Elephas maximus indicus: one gene and its partners. The protein of the gene in region 3 interacts with the protein of the main gene of each other region in a pairwise test. Links are inferred from orthologs where the notes say so. Each region holds a gene or a part of one and is shown on either strand. Other genes may lie near its edges. The genes, in order: keratin-associated protein 19-5-like, RBFOX1, RBPMS and nuclear envelope pore membrane protein POM 121C-like.

What was found.
Region 1: the proteins of RBPMS (region 3) and keratin-associated protein 19-5-like interact in binary tests that used the Homo sapiens proteins (3 or more experiments, as listed by UniProt). The two-hybrid records come from large-scale screens. The link is inferred for Elephas maximus indicus from reciprocal best matches to the Homo sapiens genes RBPMS and KRTAP19-5.
Region 2: the proteins of RBPMS (region 3) and RBFOX1 interact in binary tests that used the Homo sapiens proteins (3 or more experiments, as listed by UniProt). The link is inferred for Elephas maximus indicus from reciprocal best matches to the Homo sapiens genes RBPMS and RBFOX1.
Region 4: the proteins of RBPMS (region 3) and nuclear envelope pore membrane protein POM 121C-like interact in binary tests that used the Homo sapiens proteins (3 or more experiments, as listed by UniProt). The two-hybrid records come from large-scale screens. The link is inferred for Elephas maximus indicus from reciprocal best matches to the Homo sapiens genes RBPMS and POM121.

Annotation. Positions count from the first base shown.
Region 1 is NC_064836.1:31,077,250-31,083,273, reverse strand, and holds keratin-associated protein 19-5-like, read right to left. Parts: upstream 1,371-6,024; coding exon 1,035-1,370; downstream 1-1,034. UniProt on the Homo sapiens protein: In the hair cortex, hair keratin intermediate filaments are embedded in an interfilamentous matrix, consisting of hair keratin-associated proteins (KRTAP), which are essential for the formation of a rigid and resistant hair shaft through their extensive disulfide bond cross-linking with abundant cysteine residues of hair keratins.
Region 2 is NC_064830.1:65,286,150-65,295,066, reverse strand, and holds the start of RBFOX1 (RNA binding protein fox-1 homolog 1), read right to left. Parts: upstream 3,355-8,917; 5' UTR 3,349-3,354; coding exon 3,301-3,348; intron 1-3,300. UniProt on the Homo sapiens protein: RNA-binding protein that regulates alternative splicing events by binding to 5'-UGCAUGU-3' elements. Regulates alternative splicing of tissue-specific exons and of differentially spliced exons during erythropoiesis.
Region 3 is NC_064840.1:69,842,631-69,851,027, reverse strand, and holds the start of RBPMS (RNA-binding protein with multiple splicing), read left to right. Parts: upstream 1-4,567; 5' UTR 4,568-5,106; coding exon 5,107-5,172; exon of another isoform or gene 5,173-5,498; intron 5,499-8,397.
Region 4 is NC_064830.1:110,392,965-110,401,303, forward strand, and holds the start of nuclear envelope pore membrane protein POM 121C-like, read right to left. Parts: upstream 3,310-8,339; 5' UTR 3,262-3,309; coding exon 2,672-3,261; intron 1,557-2,671; coding exon 1,341-1,556; intron 1,023-1,340; coding exon 864-1,022; intron 1-863. UniProt on the Homo sapiens protein: Essential component of the nuclear pore complex (NPC). The repeat-containing domain may be involved in anchoring components of the pore complex to the pore membrane. When overexpressed in cells induces the formation of cytoplasmic annulate lamellae (AL).

The DNA of each region.
Region 1 (6,024 bases), on a different chromosome or scaffold from region 3:
ACAAAGACCACTGGAAGCAAACAAAATATAACACCTATGAAAGTATGCAGGGGTTTTATCCCTTTGTTCTCCATGTCCTCAGCACTTAGAACAATCTCCAGCACATGGAAACATTTAATGAACATTTGTTAAATCAAATGCATTTTGTTGATCAAAACGCCAATTCAGAAAAGGAGACTAACCAAAAAACAAAGAAAACAAAAACAAACCTGTTATCGTCGAGTCAGCTCTGACTCATGACAACTCCATGTGTTTCAGAGCAGAACTGTGCTCCATAGGGTTTTCAAGGCTGTGACATTTTGGAAGAATATTTTCAAGCTTTTCTTCCAAGGCACCTCTGGGTAGGTTTGAACTGCCAACCTTTTGGTTAGTAATTGAGTGCTTAACCATTTACACCACCTGTAGACTCCCAAATCAGAAGAAAGAAGACTAACACCCTAATTGAAATCCTACATAGCCATTTGAAATTCCTTGACATAAACAAACAGAAAAAGGATGCCTGGTGGTGGGGTGGTTAAGGCCCCAGCTGCTAACCTAAACATCAGCAGTTCAAATCCACCAGCTGCTCTGCAGGAGAAAGATGTGGCAGTCTGCTTTCGTAAATATTACATCCTTGGAAACTCTATGGAACAGTTCTACTCTATCTTAAAGAGTGGCTAACAAATCGGAAGAAAGAAAACTAACATCCTGATTGAAAACCCACATAGCCAGTTGAATTTCCTTGAAACAAATTGATAAAGATGAAGCCATGTTTGCTTTGCTAGTTAAGTATGTTTATTAAAAATTATTTTAAAATAGAATTCACACATGTTTACAACAGATGCTAATGACAGAATAATAACAAGTGAAACCCTGAAGCAATGAAGAGATTCCAGATCATTTTAGAGGAAATGAAAACTGGTAGAGGATATTCCATATGGAGCTTGATGCCAATAAACGATAGATATTTTCCCTACATCAAGACAAGAGCTCACATCATAGAACAATGTGGGTAAGAGCATAGTGATAAAAGAGTCTGAGGATCTGCAGGCTTTTTAGTAGAAGCAAGAGAAGTCATATCCTCCATAGCAAGATGGGTGACAAGAGTCATATCCATAGCCTCCATAGATTCCATACCCAGAGCCAGATCCGTAACCTCTGTAGCCACAGCCATAACTCCATCTGCGGAAGCTGCCACAGCCAATACCACAGCCGTACCCCAGGCCACCAAAGCCTCCATAGCCATAGCCCAGGCCTCCATAGTAGCAGCCACAGTAGCTCAAGGTGTCAAGGGTTAGAGATTGGTTTGATGCTGAAGATGAGTTTCCTGAGTCTCTCTTGCTTCCCAGAACATTCCGATATTTTCCATAGTAACTGTGGTAAACAACCATGGCAAGGTGATTTCATTTCCATGTAACAGAATAATGTAAAGTTTAAAAATTCCTTATAATTTTTCTTTTCTTACACACCAAAGAGCCCAGGCTCTTATTAAAGCAGTTTTAATAATAAATATTATTTTTTAATGAGTTTGCATTCCTTACAACAAAATGTTTCCAAGATGAGAAATGATTATAGCCTATTCAAAGCCATGGAGTCCTGGTGACGCAGAGGTATAAAGTACACAGCTGCTAACTGAAAGGTCCATGGTTTGAACCCACCAGCACTCTTCTGGGAGAAAGATGTGTCAGTCTTCTTCTGTAAAGATTTTACAGCCTGGGAAACCCTATGGGCAGTTCTACTATGAGTTGGAATCAACACGATGGCAGTGGGTTTGGTTTTGTTAAGGCTTTGCTGGTGTCCTAATTAAAATGATCTCCTCTAGTTGATGGGTTCCAATAGTCCTGTAATTACATAACTTCACATTACTTTTCTTTTCTTCTTCTTTTTTTTTTTTGGTTCGGGTGAAAGTTTGCAGAGCAAATTCTTTTCCTATTCAACAATTTATACACATTTTGTCTCGTGACATTAGTTGCAACCCCTTAATGTGATCACACACTACCCACTTCCTTTTTGAGTTTCCCATCTCCATTCACCCATCTTTCCTGTTCCTTCCTGCCCTCTTGAACTTTGTTTTTGAGCAAATGCTTACCTTTTAGTCTGGTATGGTTGATTGTCCTGTGGGGCACCCTCCTCACAGTTGTTGTTGTTCACTTTATTGGTCTGTCTATCTTTTGGCTGAAAGGTGATTGCCAACAGTATGTTCAATTGAAGGCTCAAAGGGTGTCTAAGGGCCATAGCTCTGGGGTTTCCACCAGTCTGTATTAGACCAGTAAGTCTGGTCTTTTTTATGAATTTGAATTTTGTTCTATGTTTTACTCCCACTCTGTCCAGGATCTTCTACTATTGTCCCGATCGGAGCTGTCAGTATTGGTAGCTGGGCACCATCTAGCTTTTCCGGTCTCAGGGTAGTGGAGGTTGTGGATTGTGTGGTCCATGAATCCTTTGAACTAATTGTTTCCTTGAGTCTTTGATTTTCTTTGCTCCAGGTGGGAAGAGACTAATAGTTATATCTTAGATGGCAGCTTACAAATTTTTAAGACACTACTCACCAAAGTAGGATGTGGAACATTGTCTTTATGGTTATGTTATGCCAATTGACCTAGATGTCCCCTGAGACTACGGTCCTAAGTCCTCTAGTCCATTGACTCTGTCCCTTGAGTTATTTGGTTATGGTTAGGAAATTTTCATAACTGTGCCCCTGTGTGTTCTACCATAGACATGGATATATTTGCAGCACATACAAATATGTATATAGAAATAGCCTCTGTCAAACCTATATATTCTCATATGTATACCCCCATACGCCATCCCACACCTGTTCAGCTTAGATATCTACTTATGTATCCACTCATAATTTACAGTTTGTTATTACTGTTATCGCAGGATTGTATATGTAATAGTATTTACCGTTTTTGCCTTTTTCTCTTGCATTCCTCTCAGTGCCTTCCTTTGCCTTGGTCATGTTGTGTTTTTCTTTTTCGTTTGACTTCCATGATTTTGGCTAATGATCATCCTCGGAACTCAAGGTCTTTTCTCCCTCAAGATCAGGGGTAGTCACAAAGTTATTAGTGCTTTCCATGTAATCAGATTTAGAGGAAACTTTCTTGGTTTTTGACTTACTTGAACTTTCCTTGGCATTTGACATTGCTGCCTCTTCATTCCTTTGTTCTTTTTGTATAACACTCTTTCCTTATTTTGTGTGCCAAAACATTCAGTTAGCTTTCTCTGTGAATTCCTAATTATTTGTCTTTCCAATTCCTTATTTATCCACTAATGCTAAGTGTCACTTTCAATTCACAAAAAATGTATATATACTTTCCCCTTGGAACTTCATGAAAGCATTGTTTTTAATAATATATTTTGTGTAGATTATTTTTAATTATTATCTTCTATTTAAAATACTTCTCTGCATATCACCACCACCAATTTAACTACTTATTGAATAGCTCTCATTTAACCTATGCTCAATGTCCAACGGTAAACTTATCCTTTCCTACAATACTGCTTCTTTTCTGTATATCAGTCACTCAAGCCATAATCCTGGGTATGTGATCTCGACTTTTCATGAATATTTCCCCCACTCTGACTACCAGTGTATACTAACTATATAACCAACTGAACCACATCAATGATATTTTGTAAATATCACTCATAAGGCTATTCATTTTTATCATTTGATTCAGTCCTTTATCACTTTATCCTAGATTAAAGTAAGAACCTCACCACTGGTGATACTGCCCCAAGGAAAAATTCTCATTTGACTCGTTGTTGGTACTGAGTCCAAAATAAGATACTAAAAAAAACAAATATGATCATTTCATTTTCCAACCATTATGCTCCTTAGTTTTCAGGGGAAAGCTTAAGCTCTTTAATTTCACAAATAAGCCTTTTCATCACAGAGCTTTTATTTATCTATCTTGGTCACTTAGAATGTACCACATATTCCCTTTTATGAAGAAGCAAGAAAGACATCAACCTCCTAAGCATTTCACTCTTCTGAGCATTTCAGGTGTGCTCCTTCATTCTGGGATCCTCTATTGTACTGCTTCACCCATCTGATTCCAACCTACCCTTCAAAACATAGGTCAAGCATCACCTTCTCCAAGAACATTTTAGTACATGCCCAGCTACTCTACCTCTGCCTAAATTAGACAGCCCTTTCAGAGTGCTGCCAAATGACCTGGACCTTTCTTCAGATTCTAGTATACTGATTAGTTTGTTTAGCTATCTTCTCCATTACACTACCTATTCCTTGAGGGCAAGAATGTTAATTATGCTAATATTTTATAATTTTTGTGGCTGGCAGAGAATAAACAGTAGATTGTTGGTTGAATAAATGAATGAATGAACACATCCATAAAAAAAAAACAACAAAATAAAAACAGATTCTGTGCAATCTCACCTTTTTTTATCTCATGGGTTTTCCATTCTCTGCTGCCAGCACTGCTGAACACCAGTAAAGTATATTTAGTGCACTTACACCCTTCTGCCCTATTAGATTATCTAAATGGATATTAAAAGGAAAAATTATGGACATTTTGCCATGTTCTCTCTATTAATAACTGGCACCTTAGACTTCCTTGGCAAGTGAAACAGTATGACTGCATAAATTTGATTCTCCCAACATTGCCCCTAACAAATATACACACCAACAAAAAAATTATAAAACCATACAAATTCCATGCCTCTAAACTAATTACAAGATGAAAAGTATTATAAGACCTCAAATAAGAAAAAAGAAATAGAAAATATATGCATCAATTTTTGCCAGTGAGATTCCTTGAATTCTTCTCCAACCATCTGTGAAGAGCAAAGAAATGTCCAGGGGGTGGAGGACTTGCCAGAAGAGATAAATTGGAAGACAAGACTGACAGAAAGCCATCTTGAGAAAGCAAAAACTCAACCTAAGGGAACATAATTAAAAAAAGAAAGAAAGAAAGCCCAGGAATAGAATGCCAGTCAGTTTTGTTTTGGAAAGGTAAGGAATCTAGAAGAAATAAGATAAGAAGGGATGAAGGTGTTCTTTTGGAACTGTACATGAAAAAAAAAAGTGAAGTGAAAATGAAGGACCCTAGTAATCACAAGGATAAAAGTGGAGGACAAACCCTAAGTCCCCTCCAAGTAAAACCAATCAGTTAAGAAAACAATACGTGGTACATTGCGAGAAAACCACACACTTAAACTAAGAATCTCATAACCAACCCCAAACCACCAGCACATTCCATAAAATGCAATGCTCTAAACAGTCTATATCTAGACAAACTACTATAATAAAAAGAAAGGAAATTAATATAAAAACTTGAGCTGACAAAAATCCTCCCCATCACCTTCCCCTTTCCCCAAAAAAGGAGCAAAGTAAGCAGTAACAAAACACTTCACATTGAATTAAATATTCTCAACAGGGATTGAGAATATTAAAAAATGAATCAGAAATTCAAAAAGAATGAACAGCAGTGGACAAAGGATAGGAAAAAATGAAATAGGAGTTGAAAACTTAGCAATTAAAACTATAAAAATCATATCAAAATGAACGCCAATTTCCAAGATGCCTAAAGAAAAATGAATTCAAATGAAAACTTAATAACTGACTTTGAAGAAAGGCAAGAAAACAATAAAAAAATAATGAACATGAGGTAAAGAAAGAGGTAAATAGAGTCGGAGAGAAAGTGGTCAAAATAGAAGATACACAAAAAGATCTAGGTTACATGTAATTAGAGTGGGTGTAAAAAAAAAAAGAAGAGAAAATAGAACAGAACTAATAAATTGGAATCTAAGAAAAGTTTTCAAAACTAAAAGAAATTCTCAAAGTACATATTGAGATAGCCATCCATTACTTGGGAAAACTGACCCACAATGAACAACTTGAAGACATATATTGGTAAAAATATTAGACTTTAAGATTAAAAAAAAAAAAACAAAACAAAACTTCAGAGCACCCAAGGAAAGATCAAGTAACTTACAAAGGCAAAAAAATAGACTTTCTTCGGACTCCTCAAAAACAATATGCAAAGCAAGGCAATAATGTTGGGACTTTTCAAAATATTC
Region 2 (8,917 bases), on a different chromosome or scaffold from region 3:
CCTCAGATATTAAGAAAGAGTGAGCATACAGAGAGAAAGAGCGATTGTAGCTGTAGGAAAACATCCATCTAAAGTGAAGTTCCTGGGAAATGTAAATATATGAAACTGAATCAGCCAGATAATTTAAGCACCAAAGTCACCTCGGCTTTGGCCTGAATAAATAAGTTATTTGTGGCAAAAGAGGTGTGTTGCTTTCTCTTGGACAGTCAGAGTAGACTTGCATGATTTCTGTTTTCATGAGTTTTCTTAGGAACAAATTTGGGAGAATTTAGGGAGAAAGGCTGTACGGCAGAGCTGATGCAAAGAAAACAGATTCTGAAGTAATTCCCCTTGGATACTCGAAAAAAAACAGGAGCCATATCAGACTTCATTCCTGGAGACGATGCTGTATTTCAGTGAAGACTCTGGGTACCACCTGATCAGAGTCTGTGCGTGTATAAGACAGGAACAATAAAGCCTTTGAATAAGATGCTTGTGTTTTAATTGTTTTCTTACAATATCAAGATAACACATACTCCTGAAATAGGTGTCTTCCGAAATGTTTCCAGCCAAGGCATCATTTACTGTGACGTGGCCCGATTCACTGGTTCCTCAACTTACTTTGTGAGTATTGATCTGTCCTCTGATCTTCAAAATTAAATAAATCAAAACAAACAAACAAGCAAACCCAAACTCGTTGCTGTCGAGTCGATTTGGACTCATAGCAACGCTGTAGGACAGAGTAGAACTGCCCCATAGGGTTTCCAAGGCTGTAAATCTTTACGGAAACAGACTGCCACATCTTTATCCCACAGAGCTACTGGTGGGTTTGAACCACTGATCTTTCGGTTAAAGACACAAGAATAGTTACAGATAAGGAGCAAAAAACAACAACAAAAGCTGTGTCGTATAGGCCGAAGTCACACGGATTGCATCTGTGCGTAGTCTGTAAAGATTAAAATGAACTACTTCACACTCTTAATCATTCAATTGTCTGGATTGGTAAATTAAAACAATGCCATGGAATTGTCACACAACCTATCATGGCAGTGAGGACCATGAGAGGTGACCCAAAGGTACGTCTCTCCCGCCCTGATGGTGATCCTTTAGGGAGGGTAGGAGGTATGGCTGGAAAACTACATTCTGAGTCAAGCAGACACAAATAAAGACTGCCTCTACTATACTTCAGACACTTAGCAAAACTCAGAGAAAATGCACACACGTGCACACACACACACACATACCCCATTCTGACATCTTGTCATAGCATCATGTTATCAGCACTTTCACGGACAGCATTACAAATCCTTTCAAGAGGAGGCATTCCCAAGCAAAATGCAAAACCCACCCTTTACCCATCTTCATATGGAACCACAATGCTGATCTAGTCACTTCTAAATATTTGTTATGGCTGCCAATGGTTCCTTTGAGCCTTCCCACCACAGAGCAGGGGAGTTTTCACTCCTGGAAGAGCCAGCAGGGCGGATGATGAAAGCCCCTGAGCCTATCCTATATACTTGTCCTTCACATGGCAAAAATAACAACCTCTCCCTCAAAGACACCGCCTGCTTTCCCAAGTTGTGTCTAAATGAGCAAACCGATTTAACAATTTAGGAGGAAGAAGCATTGATTTATTTTTAAAAAAAAGAACAACGCACAAAGAACTGGTCAGAACACTGAATACCTATAGCATTCTGCTTGTTAGGTAATGCTGTTCAAATTGATTAATAAATAACGTAAAAGGAGTGGATGTAGGAGGCACAAGATCAACTCGTATTAATAATTTGATTAAATCCGACCGAGGCTTAGCATCTGTAGAAACACTCATTAGAATGTTCTTCTGGTGGGTAACTGGTGTAAAACACGCACGCATACACACACACGCATGCACACACGCACACAGCAAAGAAATGCTAGCAGCAGATGAGTCATATAATACGTTACCAGTATGCTCTTGGGAAATGTTTCCTGGCACAATTTACTTAATGAGAAATGGAATAAAAAAGATATTTAAAAGGATAAACCAATTTGTTCTCAAGATATTACCAAAAATAATAATAACAGGCTGTTCTCAGACTTGCAACCAAATAATCCTAAGATATATTTTCTGGAGGCAACCAACTTGATAACAAATTACCCAAATGTTCAAAACAATCTTGACATTTTATAAATGCATCTATGCCTATAATCCAGATGGAAATGGAGGGCCTTTAGGGAAGGAGGCACCTCTCAACTCTTGTGAAGGAAGTTGTGTCAACATACAAACACACATGTTAACAAATGGCACTCTGGAAGTGAGTCTGTGGAAAGCAGATAAAATGCCTACAATCCCAATAAACTCTTCGCAGAGCAGGATGGGGAAGGGAGAGGGTTTCCCATTGGAATGACAAACCCTCTGGCCCTGCCAGTTCACAGGCACAGCCACTGACCCCTTGACAGAGAGCAGAAAGCTGTCCCCCCCCCCCCGCCCCCCAAAGGCAATGCTCCGCGGATTCCCAAGCCCAGGCACAGGTACCAGTGCCAGCCCTTCTAGTAAAGTGAGGAAGACAGAGAAAGAGGGGGTCTGAGGGAAACACCCAGAGAAAAATAGACACAGCGGAAGACTGAAATGTAGGGATAGTGCAAAGCCAAACAGACAAACACAACATCCCTCAGTAAGACCTTAATTAAGCGGGGAGTGAAGAGAAGACACAAATGCCTCTACAGTGCCAACAAAGACAGCATCCTAAACCTCTTGCCTTCACCGTACATAGCATTGCCTGTGAGTTTGGAGGCAGATTTTGGGGCTATCAGCATCCAGAAATCTAAACAGCCTGATCCCATAAAGAATCAGCACAGCACAAAACACGACACAGGCAAACTTAAGGCGAAAAAAAAAAAAAACTTAACATACACACACATGCTTACGTAGATGATTTTTCTTCCCCATTAAATCACCTTAATGAAAACTACAGGCACCCGAATGCCTCCACAAAGACTCCAAACTCTTAGCATCAAAGGGTTCTGATTTTCAAATCGCCACTAGACGCACAGACAGAAGAAGGATGCGAATAAGAAAAAAAAAATACAGTTTTCAATTTCAAACTCCGGTACCCAGGCTGGGAGGCAGGCATGCAAAGTATTCAGTGAGATGCAAAACCAGCTCGGCAGGGGGTTTCTGGGCTCCGCAGAGAACGAAGGGCTCAGATCCACCCCTCCAGTGCCAGCGCATAGCCCCCCTCCCCAAGCCCCCTCCAAGGCAGGAAAGCGCAGCCCACGGATGAGGGTACCGAGTCGGTGCAGCCCCCGGGAAGCGGCCACGGAGGCAGAGGCGCGCCTTACCTGCTGTAAGTACATAAAAGTCAAGGCACACGAGAGCTGGGGACACATGCCCACGTTGGGGAGCGCCACGCAGGTGGCCCCCGTCAGAGGGTGCTGCATCGTGTCTCTGTGGTACCCGCCGAGCACAAGTGGGGACGCTCGCATGCAATCACGTTGCTCCCTGCCTGGCCGCTACAATTTTTTTTTTTCCTCTTTTTAATTTTGCTGATTATCTAAGTCAAACGCGGGTGGCTGTCTCTGTCTCTTCTCTCTTTCTCTCTCTCTCTCCCTCCCCCCGCACCCCTCGTGTCCCTCCTCCCTGGCGTTCTTTCTCTTTGGGTTTGCTAGATCCCAGCCTTGTTCTGCCTGAAACTAAGACACTTGAGAGGACCAGGAAACTATTTTGTTTTCCTCCCTGCTGGATCGTTTTCTGGTTTGTTGGGCCTGCTTTTTTTTTTTTTTTTAACCGCCCCCAAAGTGGAAGGTGCCCCCCACCCCACACCCGGTGAAGATGACAGGACCAAGCACAGGCAACTTGGATGGAAGGTAGAGAGGTTTGGATGGATACTCTCCTGTAATGCTGAGTAGGAGGCGGGTAGAGAGAAGGAGGAGGGAGAAAGGAGAGAGAGAAAGAGGGAGAGATGAAAGGGGAGGAGAGAGAAAGAGGGAGAGAGAGATGAAAAGGGGAGGAGAGAGAAAGAGGGAGAGAGATTTTGACTCACAGAGGAGGCTCACTCCTTTGGTGCTGATGCTGCCTGCCTTCTCATTTGTCAAATGGGTCCAGGGGCAGGGTTGTGTTTTTTTTTTTCCCCCTCCTCTCCTTTGCCTTTTTTTTTCCTTAACGACTCACCAAAATTCAAATTGTGTCTGCTAAAAATCTCTGCGGGGCGGGCGAGGAAGCAAGCGAGCGCCCCACATCGCCAGCATCCAGCCTTGAGCTGGACAATTCCTGTGCTCGCCCAGCTGGGACCCAGACTCCTTGCTTTTCCTGGCGGTTGGTTTGCCTGACTCCTCGAATAAACACAGAAATAGGATTTCCTCTCTTAAGAAGCTGGAGGTGTTGAGATCTGGGGAGCCCCGATTAGGGGGAAGCTGGGGCTGGGGGCGCTGGAGGGAGGGCGGTGTCTGTGCCCCAGCAGCAAAGGCAGCTACAAGCCCCGAGGCTTTTTGGGGCGCAGCTTTCGCTGGCTCTCTGCCTCTGCTGGGCAGGCAGCAGTGCGCTCAGCAAACCAACCCCTATCCTAACCGCTGGGGCAAACTGCCTGGGCAGGCGTTGAAATCAAGCCTGTTGGACTAACATGCCAGCTCCTGGGGAAGGCAAGGGGGCTTCTAATCCCAGCTCTTCTCAGATTATGAATGCACAGGCTGGGGGAGGCTTGTGTCTGATAAGAGATTACTCTGTGGGCTGCAGTGGGCAAATTAAAATGGTTTATTTTATTCTTGTCTGGCCAGCCCTCTTTGGCCAAATTAGCATTCTGCTCTTGCAGATGGGTCTCCCCCTCTCCTGTATTTTATGAAGGAATAATTATTCATTAGTAGCTTGTGTTAGTCTTTATGCGATCAAATAGGATGTGATCTGCAAATCAAAAGAAAATATTAAGACTCTAACTTGTCCTTGGTCCCCACTAGTGCACATTCTGGGCACTAGTGAGATTATGATCACTGTATAGTAGCCATATTTTTTTTTATTATATAGATTTTTGACTCAGTGATTGGATTTTCTTTTTATTTCCCGAGCAAGAGGTCAGTTCTCTGAACAGAATCTTTTCGGGTTGCGGGTTTCCCTGCAAAGATGCTTGTTGAAGGCTTGCCAATGTCTGCAGGACATGGTCACACTTTGAGAGGGGATGGGGATTCTCACAAAGGAGCATTTAGGACGTGACCCAGGGGACTGGCCACCAGGGGCTCGCCCCCAGATTCTCTGTGAGGCTCACATAGATGCTCTCAGCCACAAGACCTCTTCTGAACTGAACCATCAGCTCAGAAGTGACAACTCACTTTGAGGCTAATCAAAATCCTTTCTGAAGGAAAGGAAATTAACTATTGCACAGCTCCATTTTTTGGTTGTTGTTTTTGCTGTTTGTTTTGAAAAGCTATCAGTAACTACAAGGTCCTCGTTATGCCAAATACTAGGCCTAAACCAGATTGCTTCTTTTTACTTTTTCATTTGCCAAACCAGTCTGTTCAACCATACTGGGGCTCACGAATCCCGTCAACTGAATAGAGACACAGTAGCTAACCAAAGAGTTGGTACTTCCAACTTACCCAGCAGCTCTGCAGGTGAAAAGACCTGGCAATCGGATCCTGTAAAGATGACAGTCTAGGAAACCCTACAGGGCAGTTCTACTCTGTCACATGGGGTCACTATGAGTCGGAATGGACTTGAAGTCACACAACAACGACAGCCCATTTAGCCCCAGGTAGAAGTTGGCATGGGGGATTAGGAGTGCCTTGGGCATTGTTCTCTGCTACTTTTTTTTTTTTTTTTTTTTTTGTGGGAGCAGACAGTGGTTAGTTTGTAAAAAAATCCTTGCTCTACGTTGACTCTGAAATCCTGTTTAACAGACAAGCTCTGATTTACAAATAAAATGATTCTCTTTCTTGCTTTCATCTTTCTTTCCTTAGTCTCTACCTGCTTTTTTTTTTTTTTGCAATTCACAAAATCAAAAAGAAAGCCACTGAACAAAGCATATACAGAATACAAGGGTCTTTCCTCCCCTTCCTCTCCTTTTCCGGTCCTTTCCTTTTGCCTCAAGCAATCTGCTCTATGACAGGGTTTGCCATGCTTTCCTCCGTTCTGTTTCTTCCCTTGCTTCTTTTCTTGCCAGCACAGGGAAAGCCTGCAAATGCCCCAAGAAGAGGATAGAATTTTCCCTTTAGCTCATTTTCATAAGAAACATGATAAATAATACATGGCACTTTAATAAGACCTTATCTGAATGGTTTAATGAAAAAACAAATACATTATGTAAGGAACCAATAACGGCTCTCAGCTGCACTGAGCCAATAGTGGTCTGCCGGCCCGTTTTCTCCCCAAAGTTTAAAACCTTTTCATGGTGATTGGATTTTTGCAGCCCCATTCTGCAATAACGGCCCAGGCTTCCCTTTAAACTTATCTCTTCACAGCCCAGGCATATTGGAAGTCTGCAAAATGAAACAATGGGATGCAGACCCTCTACCTCCATCTCAAAAGGATTCTCAGCCAGGCTCCATTCTCTGGACGACCAACTCACACATTCTGACACAAGCGCATGCAAACGCGCTCATGCACAGAGGCAAGTACAAACCCTAGACACACGCCAGCCACTTAAAGAAGCAGGCAGGCAAGGTTTTTACACTCGCTAATATCACTGCCCACGGATCAGTAACACAGCATCGAGCGACGCCATGTCAAACTGCACCATACCTGCAACCTCTGCTCCCTGGATGATGAAACTTCGCTCGCCTTTTGACCAGCATCTGGGGATGCTGGATTTGAATTTGATCTCAACAGAGACTGGGAGAGAGCCACATCAATGCCACTGGCTCCTGAATGATGCTTCTACGTCAATAAATGGGAGAAGCGGGGAAAGACATAATCTTGTCTCTTCTGCGAAGAACCCCCGGGCGCTTGGACGTATGTATGTATGTATACACCTCGTACACGTTTGAGGGCCACCCTGCCTGCCTTTCAGGTACAGGGGCCCTTAATTGAATAGGTACTCACACCCTGTAGGAAGCTGAAAGAAAATGTGAAAACCAGCAAGAAACAAGATCACCTTCAAATGGAACTTCCTTATGCAGAAGGCTACCGCTCAAGTTTTAATTTGACTTCCACAATAGTATTTGTAACTTTTTTCTTTCCCTAAACTTGCCAGCTATTTGAAACAATAAAGAAACTACTCTTGATTTCTTTTTTTTTTCCTTCTTTTTTCTTTTTCCTAACCCTGTATTGTAACTTCTTAAGTGTGTCAAAATAGCAGACATTTCACTAAGGATACTTTCTACTATAGTTGTCATACCTCAAAGCAAGAGACTCCAGTTGGACAAAATGAGAGACTTTCTATTGTAAGCGTAATTAATTATCCATACTAGGATTGGCTCAGTGGAAGTGTCAAGGGGTGACTTAGCAATATTTTACTCTCACTTCCAAATTTTGAAACTGGGAACAACATGTGCTCAATCTTCAGTAAAGTGAGAATGCAAGTATTTTTAGACAATTTTTTATTTTTATTTTTTTAATCTCTGTAACATGCACTTCGATATAGTTATTTGTTCGAACACTTCAGTGATAGTTGTTTGGTGTTGACTGCATTCCAGGCACCGTTCTAGTCCCTTGGGGTTTATCTGGAGAGGAGACTGCAAGCCAAGTTCATGGACACCATAGAGCTTACGTTCTAGAGGGGAGGGAGAAAATAAGCAATAAAGTAAGAAATAAATAAAATATGCAGCCCCGGTGGTGCAGTGGTTAAGAGCTTGACTGCTAACTAAAAGGTTGGCAGTTGGAATTTACCAGCCTCTCCTATACTCTGTCCCGTAGGGTCCCTATGAGTTGAAATTGACTGGATGACAATGAGTTTGGTTAGTTGGTTGGTTGGTTGGTTGGTTGGTTGGTTGGTTGGTTGGTTGGTTGGTTGGTTGGTTGGTTGGTTGGTTGGTTGGTTGGTTTGGTATTCAGCATAATAGGAGGTGATAAGTGCTGTAGGAAAAAAAAAATACGCAGCAGCATTTGAGGACTGGGGACATAAGGTAGAGGAAGGGCAGGGCAGGCTGCAGCAAACGCTTCATAAAATGTGTGCTTGCTCTGAAAAAGCAGCTCCAGTTTCTAGAAAAGTCACCTCGCACCCTGGCCCCTTCCCACCTGAGTTTTGCTGAGTGCCACATCCCAGGTTTAATTAATCCTAAAGCTCTCACGAGTCCATCTACTGAGAGAGGTGTTGGACCTTTCACGCCTCTACTGATTAAAAACTGGAAAGGCTCTCAGCTGTAGCTCTGGCCACTGGAGGTACAGGGTTTAATACAGTGCCTGACATACAGCACCCAATTAGTAGCTGTCGAGTCAACTCTGACTCATGGGGACTCCATGTGTATAAGCGTAGAACTGTGTGTCGTAGGGTTTTCAAGGGCAAATTTTTCCAGAAGTAGACAGCCAGGCCTTTCTTCTGAGACACCTCCATCCTTCGATTAGCAGCCAAGTGTATTAACCATTTGCAGTATCCAGACCCTGACATATAGTAAGTGCTTAGAAAATACAGAATGGGTGAATGAATGAATACAACAGGCATTTGGACCAGATGACTTCTTGCTCTCTCTTCCAATTCAAGGAATACAAAGATTCTGAGTTTGTTTTCAGCTCTCTGTGTGGCAATTTGAGCCCAGCACCCAGGAAAGCCCCCTGGGCCTCTTGAACGAGGTCTCTGCCCCTGATGGTCCATTTGAGCTATGCTGCGGAAGCTCCATTTCTAGACACAGCTCTCCAGGCAAAGCATGGGCCTTCCATGGGATGGAATCGGAGGGCTGAAGGCGTGGCAGAGCTCAGGTGAGCCCAGCATTCCTCTTCCAGAGTAAAGGGCTGTGTCTGAGGCAGAAGCAATTCCGACCATTCAGTGGCAATCGCTTTGCATGTAAAGACAGAATTGAGACTGAAGATGAGAGTCTG
Region 3 (8,397 bases):
GCACAAATAGCCTCGGAATAGACCTTTAATGTCTGCAATTCTCAGAGACAAACACGTAAGACATAATTACAGGTTTGCATTTCTTAAAGCAAGCCTCCAAATGAACACTGCCAGAGAAACAGAGATGAGTAATAAAAAATACAGGTGTGTACAGTATTTCCCTTTCAATCTAGCATGTCGCTTTGTAGGCCAGACAGCTGTGCGGTAGGGTGGTGGGCAGGGGAAGAAGCAGATGTTACTTGGTCATTAGCCCAATTTTTCCAGGATATAAAATCCCTTCGTTGTCTTATAATTATATTTATGTGTCTGGAAACTATTGCTACTGAGGCGATCTCATGTTTGAAACTTTTCTTCTTTGAAGTAGTGAACAGGTCATAAAGACCATTTATATCCTGACATTTTCCTCCACGCTGTCAAACTCTTTCCCCTCACTCCCAAAGTTTTATAAATAGCAAGAGTCTGTTTACAGATTCTCATTGGGTTTTGTTTGGTAATACGTTACTCTATCATTCTTCTAAATAAGTCTAAACCATGCTTTATGGAAAGGATAAAAAACCGGAATCCCTCTTTTCCTGGCATATAATTCCATCCGTACGTGCTCTTCCGAAAACATCTTCAATTTCACTCTCATCATTGACGGTAATATTCTAGGTCTCCCTGCTTGATTGCAAACTACCTGATGTATCAGAAGGAACCCCGGTGGGGCAATGGATTGCTCGGCTGCTAATAAAAATGACAGTGGTTTGAAACCACCAGCCACACCCCAGGAGAAAGATGTGGCAGTCTGCTTTCTTAAATATTTACACTCTTGGAAACTCTATGGGCAGTTCTACCCTGTCCTTTAGGGTCGCTATGAGTCAAGATCTAATCCATGGCAGTGGGTAACCTGGTGTATCAATTGTTGTTGTTGTTAGGTGCCATTGAGTTGGTTCCGACTCATGGCGACGCTACGTACAACAGAATGGAACACTGTCCGGTCCGGGGCCATTCTATTGTCCAGACTTTGCAAGCATATGAGATCGAAAATACTATGGCTTGGGTCAAGCACACCTTAGTGGCATCTCAAAGGGACATCTGTGCTTTTTAACACTTTAAAAGGTCTTTTACAACAGATTTGCCCAATGAAATACCTTGTTGATTTCTTGACTGCTGCTTCCATGGGCGTTGATGGTGAATCCAAGTAAAACAAAATCCTTGACAACTTCAATCTTTTCTCCGTTTATCATGATGTTGCTCATTGGGCCAGTTGTGAGGATTCTTGTTTTCTTTATGTTGAGGTGTAATCCATACTGAAGGCTGTGGGCTTTGATCTTCATCAGTAAGTGCTTCAAGTCCTCTTCACTTTAAGCAAGCAAGGTTGCATCATCTGTGTGTATTGCAGGTTGTTAATTAGTCTTCCTCCAATCCTGATGCCCCGTTCTTCTTCACACAATCCGGCTTCTTGAATTATCTGCTCAGCATACAGACTGAATAAATACGGTGAGAGGATACAACACTGAGGTGTGTGTCAGAATGTATCAATATAGTGCCGTGATTTTATTTTTTCTTTCTTGAAATCTCGTTAGGTGCCCCACTGTGTACAAGGTCTCTATCTAGAGTCTGCCCCTTGGAACAAAATAATGAGTAGAAATCACTGCCATGACGTTATGGGGGCTCTCCAATCTCAGATGTCCCCACTAATTTGGTCCTTCCTGCCGGATCTTGGAAGGATCTAATTCATTCAGACTAGAGAATCAATAACTGATGACTTAATGTGTTAATTCATTAAAAATTAACTATTGAGTGCTTACTATGTGTTCAGGAGTCCTGGTGTTGCTACGGTTAAGCTCTCAGCTGCTAAGCAAAAGGTTGGCAGTTCGAACCCACCAGAAGCCCTGCGAGAGAAAATGTGGAGATGTAGAGATTACAACCTTGTAAACCCTATGGAGCAGTTCTACTCCGTCCTATAGGATCTCTATGAGTTGGAATCGACTCTACGGCAACAGGCTTGGTTGTTTTTGGACAACGTGTTTGGCACTGTCTAGATATTGGGAATGCAACATTGAACAATCTAGACAAAGATCCTCTCATGAAACCTATTCTTGTTTTTTATCCCGGAGGTTTTTGACTTTTAACAGTAGACAAAGTCCTGGCTTGGCTGAAAGACAAAAGAATCAGGTTCTACTCTGAGAATGAAGCTACATTTCCCTGTGTAGGAGGACGTGAGGTTTTCCCAGCATCCTGAACTCACACAACGTATTCCACCTACTCATCAGTGGGGTCTGACTGGAACCATCAATGACTACATCAACTGTCACTTTTCTTGAGCGTTTGCCAGGCTCCAACAAGACAATCCCCTTCTGTGGAGTGTCCTCAGTAACAGGCAGGAATAGCCAAGGAGGACAAAGTTCTGCCATTATTGACCATCTCTGGGGCCCAAGACCACCACACAATCATTGCTCAGGAAGACATTGCCCCCTTGTGGTCACCTCTAACCTTTATAACTGAGGGAGAAGCTGGCAGTGGAAAGAGCTCCCAATTAAGACAAATGAATAATCAAAACAAGGACAAGTGAGTTACCAAGTTTTAGGAACAAAATAACCCTTGTCCTTCTCAGCTTCTTTAATTGTAGTTTCAATAAACTCTTGGTTTAGTTTCATCCAGGATTCACTTTTGTTACCATAGAGAAATGATATTACGACAGCAATTAAAGAAAAACATTTTTTTTCTTACAGAAGACCTTATCCTTATCAAAATCTTCAGATCACCAAGTAAAACCCAATATGTAAGTCCAAGTATCACTACTGCTTTTCTCTTCATGGTATGCTTGAAGCAAGTATTTTCTACATTTAGACAATTAAACTGCTTTTGACAATTTAAACCAGAATTCTGCAATTACGTTGCTGTGGCGTTGTTTTGGGTATCTTGTCTCCACAACACCACTTTAAACTTCCCAAAGGCAGAGGCCTCATCTGCAAGCCCTACCACACTTGCAACAGCACGTAAACCAGTATACTAGGGTCCAGAATGTCCAGTGGGGGAGAAAGAGATAACGTTACAAAAGCAAATAAACAAAAAATAAGTGATTAGAAATTGTGATTTCTGCTGTGAAAGAACAGCATCATGTGAAAGAGAATTCCTAGCAGTGGCAAGCGGGGGGAACGTACCGATGTGGAGTTTTAAACTTATGTTTGCAGCAGTCAAGTTGGAAAGCTTAAAGGAGCCAGTATTGGAGAATCCCTCCAAGGCCCAGCAGAAATGGAACTTTTCTTAATAATCATGTTGGCTTCCATATATTGTGAACTTCGGCTGAGCAAGAATGGCTGTTGGGTGCTACATTTTTATCAATCTATCTTGTTACTGTTGGTTCTGATTCATGGCGACTCCATGTGTGTCAGAGAACAACTGCTCTACAGGGTTTTCAAGGGTGTGACCTTTTGGAAGCAGATTGCCAGGCCAGTCTTCCTTGGAGCCTCTGGGTAGGTTCCAACCACAGATGGCTAGTAGCCCAGCGCTAACCTTTTGTGCCACCCACGGGCCTCTCTATCAATCTATAATCTTCTTCAATTCGCATGACCCTGGGAGATAAGCATAGCTATTTCTACTTTACGGAGACTGAAACAGAAGCCATGCAGTCCTTCCAAGGTTGGTGTACAGTGAAGGGTTTTTTTTTTTCTTCTGCATGCTTCGAGCCATCTGAAGATCAGCTCTACTGACCTCAAGTTCTGCTTAGACTGAGGAATGTTCACTTGGCCAACAAATATTTATTAAGTGCCTACTATATACCAGGTAGTGTATTTAAATAGCCGTGGGATTAAAAAGATAAACAGGGCACGGTCTTTGTCTTCTTGGAAGAAACTCCGGGAAGAGTGAGGAAAACAGCCAGGTAAACAAATAATTCCAAAGAGCCTGATAAGGGCTGTGGGAGGTCTGAACAAGAGCTATGAGGAGCCCAGAGAGCAGCAGCCCGTGCAAGGAGGCTGGAGAGGCTTCGGTGGACCGGACGTTCGTGGTGGGCTTGAAACTGCGCTTTAAAAAGCCGGTTGGGAGCAGGCTGCCCCAGGGTGTCTCTCCAGTTCCTTCAGGCCGTCATTTCAAACTGCTGGCTGAAGGGAAGAACTGTGCCTAAACGAGTAGTAAAAGAGGGTAGACTCAGGGACAGGGGTGCAAATCCCTCGCGGAAAGCCAGCAAGCTAAAGTAGCACACCCCAGTTCCCGCTCTCCGCACTGGCAGGGCCTGTTTCCCCGAAGCCCCTCTCCAAGCTCACGCGCACGGACACGCGAGTTCGCAACTCGGACCCCGCTCGGCCGTGGGGCGCAGCGGAGCCCGTGAGCCCGCGGCGCTGACCTTCCCCCCCTCCGGTGCCTTCGCCCTCGGACCTACCGCGAAGTCGCGGGCTGGGGTCGGCCGCTCCCGCCCGCCGCACGCCGCCCCTCCCCGGCGCGCGCCATCCGGCCGCCCGGCAGCCGCCCTCGGTGCAGCCCCTCCTCCCGCGGGGGGCTCCGTCGTCCCGGTCCCGTCCCTCAGGGCTGAAGCCCGCAGCCCACGTCCTGGGAGGGCGGAGGGAGGAGGAGGGGAGAGGAGGGCAGAGGGGAGGGAGGAAGGCGAGAGAAAGGAGGCTGCTCCGATCGCGTCCGCCCAGAGCCAGCCAGCAGCGCGCACTCGGCGGCTCTCCGGCCCCTGCGCCCCAGCCGCCCCGAGCCCGCGCCCGGCGCCCGCACCAGCTGCTCCTCTCGGGCGCCCCTCGCGCTCCCCGCTCCAGCGCCCGCAGGCTCGGCAGCGCGGCCCCGGCCCCAACTCCAGCCCCAGGCTTTCCTCCTTCCTTCCCTCGCGCCCGCCGGCCCGCCCTCCAGGTCTCACTCCCGGGTCCCGATTGTCTCCGTTCCCTTCTCAGTCCGCCCTTGCCCTCGCCCTGCCCGGTCTCTCCCTCGCACTTCCTGAGTCGCCGGCCGCCGCAGCCTCGCCGCGCCGCGGGAGCCCGCGCAGCCGCTGCCCCAGCTCCAGCCTCCGCAGCCGGCGGCGCCCCACCCGAGGGAGCCCCGGTGCCCCGGGAAGGGAAGAGTGGGCGAGCGCGCCCTCGCCCAGCCCCGCGCCCCAGCCCCGCCCGGGAAGAAAGGACCGGGAAGATGAACAACGGCAGCAAAGCCGAGAAGGAGAACACCCCGAGCGAGGCCAACCTTCAGGAGGAAGAGGTACCGAGTGGCCCGGAGCGGTGGTGGGTGCGACCGGGGGCGCGAGCCGCTGGCTTTCTCCAAAGTGCCGGGAGGGAGAAGCCGGCGGGGCGCGGGCGCTTGTCCCGGGGCGACGGGCTGGGTGCCCCTGGAGGTTTGAAATATTGTCCTTGCCCCAAGACACAACCCCACAATTTGGCCCCGGGAGGGTGTATCTTTGGAGTGTGTTTTTGTGTGTCCACGCGCGTCTGCGTGCCTAAAATTGCGTAACTTTGAGGACTTCTCGGAGACTTCTCTAAGTATAATGATCAGCTTTGTTTGCTTGGGATTTTAAAAGAGGAATTGAGAGGTGACTCCTGGGTGACCTCAGATTATTAGGACCCGCAGGGTCAGGGTTTAGTTCTGCGTTTGAGATTGGAAGTTATAGTGTGTGGGTGTTGTAAGAAAGGCGGGGACAAGTTCTCGTTAAAAGATACCTTCTGTCCCCCGCCCCCCTCCCTTTCGGTGTTAAAAGTTCTTGGTGAAAAATCTTTCAAGCGGAGGCATTTTGGTTGAATAGATAACTCATTAGCCTCATTCTTTGATGAGTCAAAGACCCCGAACCTGGGCAGTTAGCTTTTGCAAATTTAGGGACGATGGAGATGTGGGAAGACGAATAAAAGGGTTAAAAACCTAACAGTTCACCAAATGACCCTTGAGGCTATTTCTGAACATAAATTTTAAGTGATTTGTCGGTAGTAACGGTAGAACTTTGCGGCTGCGAAGCGTTCCTTTGGTGGAAACAACAAAGCTCAGTAAATGTAGGGAGGGACTCAAACTTTTCAGGATTTTGTATATAGGATATTTGTGGTACCCTATTAAATAGCTCCGTTCAGGCAGGTACAGAATCTAGGATGCAAAGAATAGTATTTTTCTCTTACTTTTTAAGATCTCAATCGCCTGAATTCTTAAACATTTTAAGAGTTTGTGCAAATGCTAGAAAGTATGTGTCTAGATCTGACCTAGATACCATTGTTAGGTCTTGCATCCTAATGTATAAGGTGAATACAGTGGTAAGCCAATTCAGAGTGATTCAGAAACTGAGATTATTATTGTAATACTGTGTGTGCAAACAAATTCAGATAGTGAAACCAAACGTGGGGGAATTCATTAATACACACAAGCCAGCTGGATATTGTCTGTCTGTTATATGGGAACCACTTCAACGTGGAAGATAGAGAACTAAGACAATGTAAAATGATGGAAAATAAATGTAGGATTCTCCTCTTTAACGTTTGTATGATAGTGCAACCTAGGTGAATTGTGGTGAGATGAAAATTGCCTTTTCACTTGAGGAAATTATCTATTTTATGATGAAGTATTATTTTGAAAAGTTTTCTTCGCATGTTTTATTACAAGCGAAGTAATACTACTGATATTTCTTTACTTTTTCAAAGAGCTGGAAATTTGAATCGCAAGTTCCACTTTTTTTTTTTTTTTTTTACTGGTTGCTTTGCTATTTATTTCCCTATCACTTAAGTAAAATTTAAAAAATGATGGCAAGTTTGTATTTTTAAGGAATGCAATGTGTTTAATCCGCTTAACACACCAAGACAATCATTGCTTTCGTTAGATATTTGTTTCACTTACATGGGCAATCTCTTTACTTCTAGGGGTAAAAACAGATACTACGAAACCATCTTTCTCTCATCATCCAGTTGTGAAAACTTGTAATTGGGAAAAAGTTGATCAGGCACACCAAAGATTATTTTTTGCTTTTGGTAGGCAGCAAAAGAAGTTTGAGTGTTCCAAAAACATGACCCACTTAATGAAATTAAGTAGAGAAAAGTCACATTTTTCTGCTGGACCTGTCTCAACTGCTGCCAGGACTGAGGTTAGGCTGCCTTGTTCCTGAGAGCCTTACCATTAATGTGTGTGAAATTGCACACCAATACAACCACAGGCAAGCTCGGGACAGTGACCGCCTCCTACCTGCCCAGTTGCCCTGTCTGTGTTCCTCTTCAGGTAGGAATGACATGTGGCTCTAAGAAAGTGTCACTATGTTTATCAAAACTTTTGTTATTTTAAAAATAGGTGGGGAGCCTCAGGAAGATTTCAGAACTCCGGTTGTACAAGAGATGGGGTGTATAAAACACACACCGTGAAGACCGGGTCTGTGTTAGGAATTCAGGAAAAGAAAATAGTGGCCCTGAATAATCCAGGAAATTTTGCTCCAGTTTCCAGTTTTGGGTTTTGTTTGTTTTTCGAAGACTCCTAACCCCCTTTTCTCCCCTAACCGTGAAAGCCACAAGTAAAATAAATGGTATTTGGTGAGTTCCATTAATGTCTTGACATGATACAAAACCACCACACACAGGACTCTCTCCCTGCCCACCCACTGGATCAGCAGTTCTTTCTCAAACACATTTAAAAGCCTTGGCAAAGGACTCTAGTAAACAGAACACACACATATAAAATGTATATATGACGCACAGCGACAAGAGAGGAAAAATGTGTTTTGTTGTAGTTTCTCATGGCTGTTGAACTGACATGGAAAAGTGAGTCCAATCCTAAAGAGCAAATAGTTTATTTCACAGATTCATCAGAGGTTTATTTATATATATATTTTCTATTTTTTTTTAAAGTGGGCTCCTTTTAACATTCAGTATATTTTATCCCTGTTTGAAAGTGTTGCATGCTTACCGTGAAGCCGCAACGATGCCGAAACACTGATTTAGGGCCAGTTGTATAGAATGATCATTTTTGCAGCTTTTTTAGGGTTGGAAATACTTGAGAACTTGGGCAGGACGTGTACTTTTGCTTTGGATAGCATTGAAAACTTTGAAGAAAAATCATTTTAAGTTGTGGCTAGCCAACTGTGTAAGAGATCTAGGTAATACATCTGGCCTTCTGGTTTCTAGAGTGTTACAGCTGTTCTTATACAAGTTGTCCTTATAAAGAAAAACTAGTTGCTGAGCTGTGGGGGTCTGAGATTTATAAGGCGTACTATGTGTATAACCAGAAAAAACCAAACCCACTGTGGTCATGTCGATTCCAACTCATAGCGACCCTATAGGACAGAGTAGAAGTGCCCCATAGGATTTCTAAGGAGCTGCTGTTGGATTCGAACTGCCAACCGTTTGGTTAGCAGCCAAATCCTTAACCACTGCACCACCAGGGCCCCACTATATGTATCAAAAACCAAGCCTAGTGACACTGAGTCGATTATAGGGCTTAATATATGTATCAGATCGTTTTTTACATCAT
Region 4 (8,339 bases), on a different chromosome or scaffold from region 3:
GGTTATATTTTTCAGGTGTGGCATCTGATATCTCACCTTATACAGAGAAACCCCCTTCTCATTACCTTCTGTTATATACACCTTGTTTTGTACCCCTCCCCTGTACACTTATAGTCTTCAATCACCTTGTTTATTTCATTGTTTTTTAATTTGTCTATCTCCCTCAAGAAAGCCCCTTGAGGGTAGGGACTTTGTTTTATTCACTGCTCTATCCACAGTACCTAGAACAGGCCCTGGCACACAGTGGGTACCCAATTAATATTTGTTAAATTAAAAAAAGTGCGGAGTCCTTACTGATTCCTTGGAAAGCCATAAGTAGTTCTATATCATGACTAGCCACTTCATCTCTTAAATTTGGGAAACAGACTGTTTACTGTACTTCCGTTAAGGTATCACATAAGGCAAATAATGAAATTGGTTCTACTCTCATTACTGGTAAATCTACCACACTCTAGTCTTCACTCTTCTTTGGCAAGCATTTCCTTTAGCACAATTATGACTTTTAAACAGGTAGTTGGCCAAATAAATCAACAACACAAGATTGTAAGTGGAAGACTTTGAGCATTCTCTCTCAAATATAAAATTAAACATGCTAGTATCAAAAGTGTGAGGCTGATATGGCTAATACTTGTTGGTTTATCTCTAATACTTATAAAAAAGGTAGACTATAAAATTTATCTACCCATGGAAATGAACAGCATTAATGCCTTTGTTACCAGGCTCCTTCATGAAAGCCAGAGAAGGGAATATGAAGGTTCATAAACTAAAGTTGGCTTCTGTATATTTTTTGGGAATGATCTGTATTTCAACAAATTCCCAGGAGTACACAGGGAGGCTGTTTAGTAGTCTGCTGGGCCTATTACCTTCTTTTATTTTCCTGGCCATCTGAGAATATTTGGTCTTCCTCCTCCACTGTTCTTTTCTTCCTCTCCTTCAGGGCACTCAGTACAGTCTCCTTTGCACATGGGTCTGGAATATTACCTGATGGTGAGGACAGTGTTGAGCTGATTATCTGCTCTGGTCTGCAATGAAAAACAAAAATCTAGTATTAAAATATTTTAATTACTACACATTTAGCATAGATGCTAATAATAGGAAATCAAAACCCAAGCTAGCAAAAGTGTAATTTATACATTCACAGAAATTGCTCTTAGTGATTTAAGCCACCGTTAAGGTCAAAAAATTAAAAAAGGTTCAATGGCTACAATTTAGGGTTTCTCTCATTCAAATAAACAGTTATTTCTTCTTTTTCCTTCAGAGTTGTCAAAGGAATAACCACACAAGAGTAACAGAGAGTAAAGTGGACACAAAAGGGAATCTGTTCTTTCCACAATACTCACACTGGTGAACGAACCAACTTGCTATCAGGAGGAGCAATCCTCACTGTCACTGGGCTGCACACCATCTTGGAATTACGTGCAGACAGCACCGTCTTCTTGTGGTAACCGTTCCAGCACACCGTGGGAAGTGCCCCCAGGAAGGAATATTGGGCCTGCTGGATTGGGTAACTTCTCCGAGGTGTTATTACAAACCGATTTGGCAAAGTCCCACAATTCCTGCAAAGAATGGGAGATACGCCATGGAAGCAAAGAAGTATAAAAGAATGTCAGAAAGTTAAAGTGGCCAAACAACCATGTGGGTTTGGACGTCTTTCAGAGAGCTTAAATCTCTTTCTAACACAGAACACAATATTTCTATGGCAACTTTCCCCCATTCTATTTAAGGGTAGAAATTGGCAGCTGCTTAGCAACTGTCTCAACAAGGGACTTCAACAATTTGCTAGGGAAGCTGGAACCCCTGCCCATGCAATGGCATACAAGTGTGTGTTAGGGTGCACAGGGAGGAATTCTTCAAGAATTCTTCAATCTTTTCAGTCTTTTACGCTAAAACTCCAGTAATGAATACACCCAAAGCCAAACATTTTTAACCAGTTTCCACACCTAAATGTTCACCTTCTCAAACAAATGTACTTATCAAGAATCTAACATTTTCACCAAATTTTTGTATTCGCCTGTATCACCTCAGCTATTGGGACTAAATAAAAATGTCTCTTTAATTTGAATTCTCTGGAACACTTCGAGTTCTGCTAACTGATATAATTTCTCACTGGTCCAAAGACCAAAATACACTACAGACTATGCTTGAAAGAAAAAGTAATTTTCACTCGAAATAGAAATATTAGTGCTTTATCAAATATACTGCTAAATCTGTAATCCCCCAAACCGACCCAAACCCGCTGCCGTTGATTCCCACTCACAGCGACCCTACAGGGCAGAAGAGAACCGCCCCCAGGGTTTCCAAGGCTTAATCTTTACGGAAAGAGACCGCCACATCTCCCTCCCGCAAAGCGGCTGGTGGGTCACACCGCGGACCTTTGAGTCAGAGTGGGCGCTTTCACCACTGAGCCACCAGGGCTCCCCGCTGAATCTATACTACACGAAAATTCTGGCGGTTTTAAGAACTGGGAGGGCGGGGAATAGCGCTGGCCTCACATCTCCTTCCACCAGCGGAGAGGAGGGCAGGAGGCCACGGACACGCCAAGCGTTTAAAGAAGGCAAAAATCACAGGGAAGCCGCTTCCGACTGAACGCAAACCAACGAAACGACCAAACACCTAAGTCCTCGCCTTAACGCCCCCCAACAGACACCGACAAGGGCCCCGGAAGCCCTACCGCCGGGGCAGCCTCCTCGAGGCTCGGAGCACAGGCGTGGGGGGCCCGGGCTGCGCGCGGTGGCCGAGGCCGGCCGAGGGCGCCGGCGGCGAGGGCCGGGCGGCCGGGCGGAGGGCGGCGGGCCGGCGGCCGGGCCCCTGCGGCGGGTCCCGGGCCTCCCGAGCGGGCGGAGGCCGCGGAGGGCCGGGCTTGCCCAGGTAGCTGCCCATGAGCAGCAGCTCAGCCGCGGCGGGCCCCTCGAGCAGCGCCCGCGGCTCCAGCAGGCTGCCGTTCACTGCCGGCTTGGCCGGCGGCGAGGGCGGCCGCGTCCGCTGGCGCCGCGCGTTCCGACCCGGCGCCGAGGCGCGCGCACCCCGGGGCTCGCGGCTCAGTCCCCACCAGGCCGCGGTAGCCCCCACGGCCAGCCAGGCCAGCGCGGCCGCCGCCGGCACCAGGAGCAGCACGAGGCCGAGCAGCGAGAGGCCGAGCAGCGAGAGGCCGACGAGCGCCGCCCCGGCCGGGCCGCCGCAGCCCCCGCCCCGGCCGTCCCTGACGCCGGCTGCCGGCCGCCGCCGCTCGCCTCCTCCAGCCGCCGCAGCCGCCGGAGACATCGCGGCTCCGCGCCGCGGAGGACTTAAATATCCCAGCGTGCACCGCGCGGCGCGCCGCGTCACCGCGCCGGCGACGTCACTGCGCACGCGACGGCGCGGAGCGACGCCATTGCTTGGCAACTCGGTAGACCGAGACCGAATTTGAAAAACGCGGCTTTGCTCCAGAAGCGAGCTCTGAGTCTCGAGGTTTCCCGCGTGTCTCCCCGCAGTGCACCAACCAGACATGATCCTGTGGAAGAATCTTGTTAAAAATAAAAGCAGGGAAAGTACTCACCTAATCCTTACTTCATGATATTCTCACGTAATTCCGAACCCTAGATGTTTTCCAGGGGCTCATCTCCCCTCCTGGAAACCCCGGTGGCCTGGTTAAGACCTACGGCTGTTACCCGAAGGTCGGCAGTCAGTCCACCAGGCGCTCCCTGGAAACCGTAGGGGGCAGCTCTCTGCCCTATAGGGTCGCTATGAGTCGGAATCGACAGCAACAGGGTAATCTCCCCTCCGGAAACCTTGTGGCGCAGCGATTAGAGTGCTCCGCTGCCAACCGAAATGGCGGTGGTTTGAACCCAGCAGCCGCTTTCCAAGAGAAAGATTGGCAGTTTCCTCCCGTGAAGATAACCCGCTGCTGTCGAGTCGATTCTGACTCAGAGCGACCCTACGGGACAGAGTAGAACTGCCCCACAGGGTTTCCAAGGAGCGCCTGGCGGATTACAACTGCGGACCTTTCGGTTGGCAGCGGTAGCTCTTAACCCCTACGGCGCCAGGGTTTCCCTGTAAAGATTACAGCCTTCGAAACCCTATGGGGCAGCTTACTCTGTCCTATGGGATCTCTATGAACCGGCATCCACAGCAAAAAGTATATTTTTGTTGTTGTTTTTAAGGTTAATCTCCCCTCCAGGGCCGCTATGAGTAGGAATCCACCGGACAGCAATGGGTTTAATCTCCCAGAAGAGATCGTTACCAAGCACTTGCCACAATTGCTAACAGAGACTGAGTTTTTCAGTTACCTTGTTTACTCCAAAATATAAATAGCTAGAGGGGACTAACTTCAACAGCAATAGGGAAAAGCAAGACCAAACCAACCATCCTATTAAACGTAGAACTACAAACCAAACCAAACCCAGTGCCGTTGGGCTGATTCCGGACTCATAGCGACCCTATAGGGCAGAGTAGAACTGTCCCTTAGGGTTTCCAAGGCTGTAAATCTTTAGGGGAGCGACTGCCACATATTTCTTCCGTGGAGTTGCTGGTGGTTTGAACCGCCGACCTTTTAGATCGCAGCTGACCGCTTTAACTACTGTGCTACCAGGGCTCCTGAACTAGTTCTAATAAATTTTGGATCAGAGAGTCCCTAGGGCTGCTGCTTCAGGTCCTGAATCTGAGTTTCTACAGTACAAGCTGGTTAAGCAGTGCTAGAAAACAAACAAACCCAGTGCTGTCAAGTCGATTCCCTACCAAATTTTGAAGATTAATGACCAGTTCACCTATGTTAAATTTGGTGGTCAGAGAAAATAGCGGTTGCCTAGGGCTGCAGAGTAGGGTGGGGGTGGTGGGGAATGGGAGTGATTGCTAAGGGTTACAGGGTTTCATTTTCAGGGAAGAAAAAAGTGTTTTAAAATTAGATTCTCGGGATGGTTGCACAACCCTGTGAATATACTAAAAAACACTGAATTGAATTCAATTTAAATGGGTGAATTGTATGAGATGTGAATCATATCTTAACAAAGCTGTTGAAAAAAAATTGGTAGTATGCCAATCCAGATTTTGACCTAGCTCAGCTTTCTCAGCATAACTCATTCATTGATTTCTTCATTCCATTACTGATGTACACTCAAATGACTTGGGGGGAGGGGGGTAAGGTCTAGAAGCCCTCGGTTTGGTAGCGAAGAAATATGTGTAAATAGAAAACTACAGTTCATAGAGGCACAGAAAGAGAAGGCATGATAAATGGGCAGGAGGGCCAGGGAGGTGCGACTTGAGCTGAAACAGCTGGCTAAACCAGGCTCCAGGCAGGCACACAGAGACGGAAACGAGTGTGATGCAAGAGTTTCCAAATAGTTCAGTATGGCCGGAGATGCAGGTGTTTGGGGGGTAAGGAGGTTGGAAATGTACGCAGGGCTTAGCAAAGGTGCCTCTGAGGCAACTTGGAGAGATAAGCCAGCTCGGCTTCTATCAGTTTAATATTTTGTGATTTTACATAAAATTTCATTTGAAAGGAAAAGTGGGTAGGCTATCTTGCTTTAAAAAAAAATCTAATTCAATTACAGATGAGAAGACCCAATCCAGAAAAGTAACATGGCTTATCCAACATTACACAGTAACCTGCTGCCATCGAGCAGATTCCGACTTATAGCGACTGTCATGGATTGAATTATGTCCCCCAAAAATGTGTGCATCAGTTTGGCTGGGCCATGATTCCTGGTATTGTGTGATTTTCCTGTATGTTGTAAATCCTGCCTCTATGATGTTAATGAGGGAGGATAGGTGGCACTTGCGTGAGTGAGACAGGACTCAATCTACAAGACTGGATTGTGTTTTGAGATGTCTTGAGATATAAAAGAAAGAAGCAAGCAGAGAGACATGGGGACCTCATACCACTAAGACAGCAATGCTGGGAGCAGAGCACATCCTTTGGACCCGGGGTCCCTGAACAAAGATGCTCCCAGTCCAGGGGAACATTGATGAGAAGGCCAACAGAGAGAGAAAGCCTTCCCCTGGAGCTGATGCCCTGAATTTGGACTTTTAGCCTACTTTACTGTGAGAAAATAAACTTCTCTTTGTGAAAGCCATCCACTTGTAGTATTTCTGTTATAGCAGCACTAGATGACTAAGACAGCGACCTTGCAGGGCGGAGCAGAACTGCTCCACAGGGTTTGCAAGGCTGTAGTCTTTATGGAAGCAGACAGCCACATCTCCCGGCTGCTGGGTTCAAATCACCAACCTTTCAGTTAGCAGCCTAGCTCTTTAACCACCAGGGCTCCTCTACACAGTAAATTAGAAAAGTAGTAGCATAGAAAAGAACTCCAAATTCCTCAGACATTGCTCTTTTTGACACAGTAAATAACTGCTTCATATTCTGGATTACAAGGAACAGAGACATGGCAGAGAACGCCTGGAAACTGCAGGGGTCACAGAACCCTTTCACTGGCAAGTAGTCAGCTCCAAGTCTGAATGGTAAACCTACAGAACCTGGAAACCACATAAGGAAAAGGAACAATTTCTGAAGCCAAAGCTCATACTTTAAAACAGAATAAATGAAATTAGCCATCTGTGGACGTGTCCTGAGGGCTTTTCCAAGTCCACAGCCCGGATCAGGCTGCAATCTCAGGAAGCTACGGCTAGAATATAACTGATGAGACTGAAACTGTTCTGGTTTTACAGTGTTGGATTCATTCTCAAGATAGAAATGCCCCTTCAGTAGAGAAAAACAATCCAGTGGGCTACCTATTGGAAGCATTCTCCCCAAATATTATTGTTTGTTCTGACTTCATGGTGACCAAGCAACTTCATGCTCCGTGCTTTGGTTCCCTCAGTTGCCTAGCATATATTGCAGGCAGTAAGACAAAACTAACCATGCGTCTTGTCTTGACCGCCCACACAGACTCTGTGGCTCCTCCTCAGTGAAAGCATCACCACCCGGGAGAGCTGGAAGGGATAAAAGAGGCCGGCCTCACAATAACCAAACTCACGAGAAACAACTGTATAGACCAGAAACCAATTTATTTGTACTGAAGTATATTTCTTTCCAGTCTCTAGAATATTCTATATGCAAAAAGACAATATAAGCAGCTAAAAGATAAGCTAAAATTTGGGAAAAAAACAATTCTAATGCACATAACCAAAAAAGGATTACCAGTTGCTGTCGATTTTGACTCATGGTGACCCCATGTGTGTCAGAGTAGAACTATCCCCCATAGGGTTTTCTTTGGTTATTTAAAAATTTTATTTTATTGTTGTTGTTGAGAACGTACACAGCAAAACATACACCAATTCAACAGTTTCTACATGTACCATTTAGCGACACTGATTGCATTCTTCAAGTTCTGCAACCATTCTCACTCTCCTTTTCTGAGTTGTTCCTTCCCATTAACATAAACTCACTGTCCCCTAAGGTTTCTGTCTTTCAATTTGCTGTTCTTGCTTTGATCCCATATAGTTCTTAAAAGAGCATAATGCTCAAGGCAGACCTTTTTTACTAGCAGAGCTAAATTATTGTTTGGTTTTAAGATTTCAGGGGATAGTTTCGGTTTAAGGTTTAAAGATTATCTCAGGGCAATAATTTCAGGCGTTCATCTACCATCATGGTTCCAGGAAGTCTGGAGTCCATGAGAATTTGAAGTTCTGTTCTACATTTTCCCCCTTTTGATCAGGATTCTTCTATAGATCTTTGACCCAAATGTTCAGGAACGGTAGCCAGGCACCATCCAGTTTTTCTGGTCTCATGGGAAAAAAGGTGGTTGTTCATGGAGTCATTTAGCCACACATTCCATATTTCTCCTTCTATTCCTGACTCTCTTCTTCCTCTGTTGCTCCAGGCAAATAGAGACCAACTGTTGTGCCTTGGGTGGCTGCTTGCAAACTTTTAAGACCCCAGGCACTACACAACAAACTGGGCGGTAGAACAGAAGCACTAAACATATTAGGCCAATTTAACTGGGATGTCCCATGAAACCATGACCCTAAACCTCCAAATCAAGGAACCAAATCCCATGAGGTGTTTGGTTGTACATAATCAGCTTCAGCAGCTACTCTTTTTTGTTGTTGTTGTAAATGTATCATCACACAACATCTGCCAGTTCAACTTTTTACAGGTGTACAACTTACTGACAGCAATTACAATAATCTGCTGTGCAATCCTACACTTCATCAATGAGATATTTCTATCACCCTTAACCCCCCTTTCTACCTCCCTCCCGCCCCAGGTAACCACTAATAAACTTTGGTTTCTATACATTTGCCTTTTCTTGTCTGTTTATTTAAATAAGATTACACAATATTTATCCTTTTGTAATTGACTTATTTTACTTGGCATAATGTCTTCAAGCTCCATCCATACTGTAGTGTGTATCAAGACTTCATTT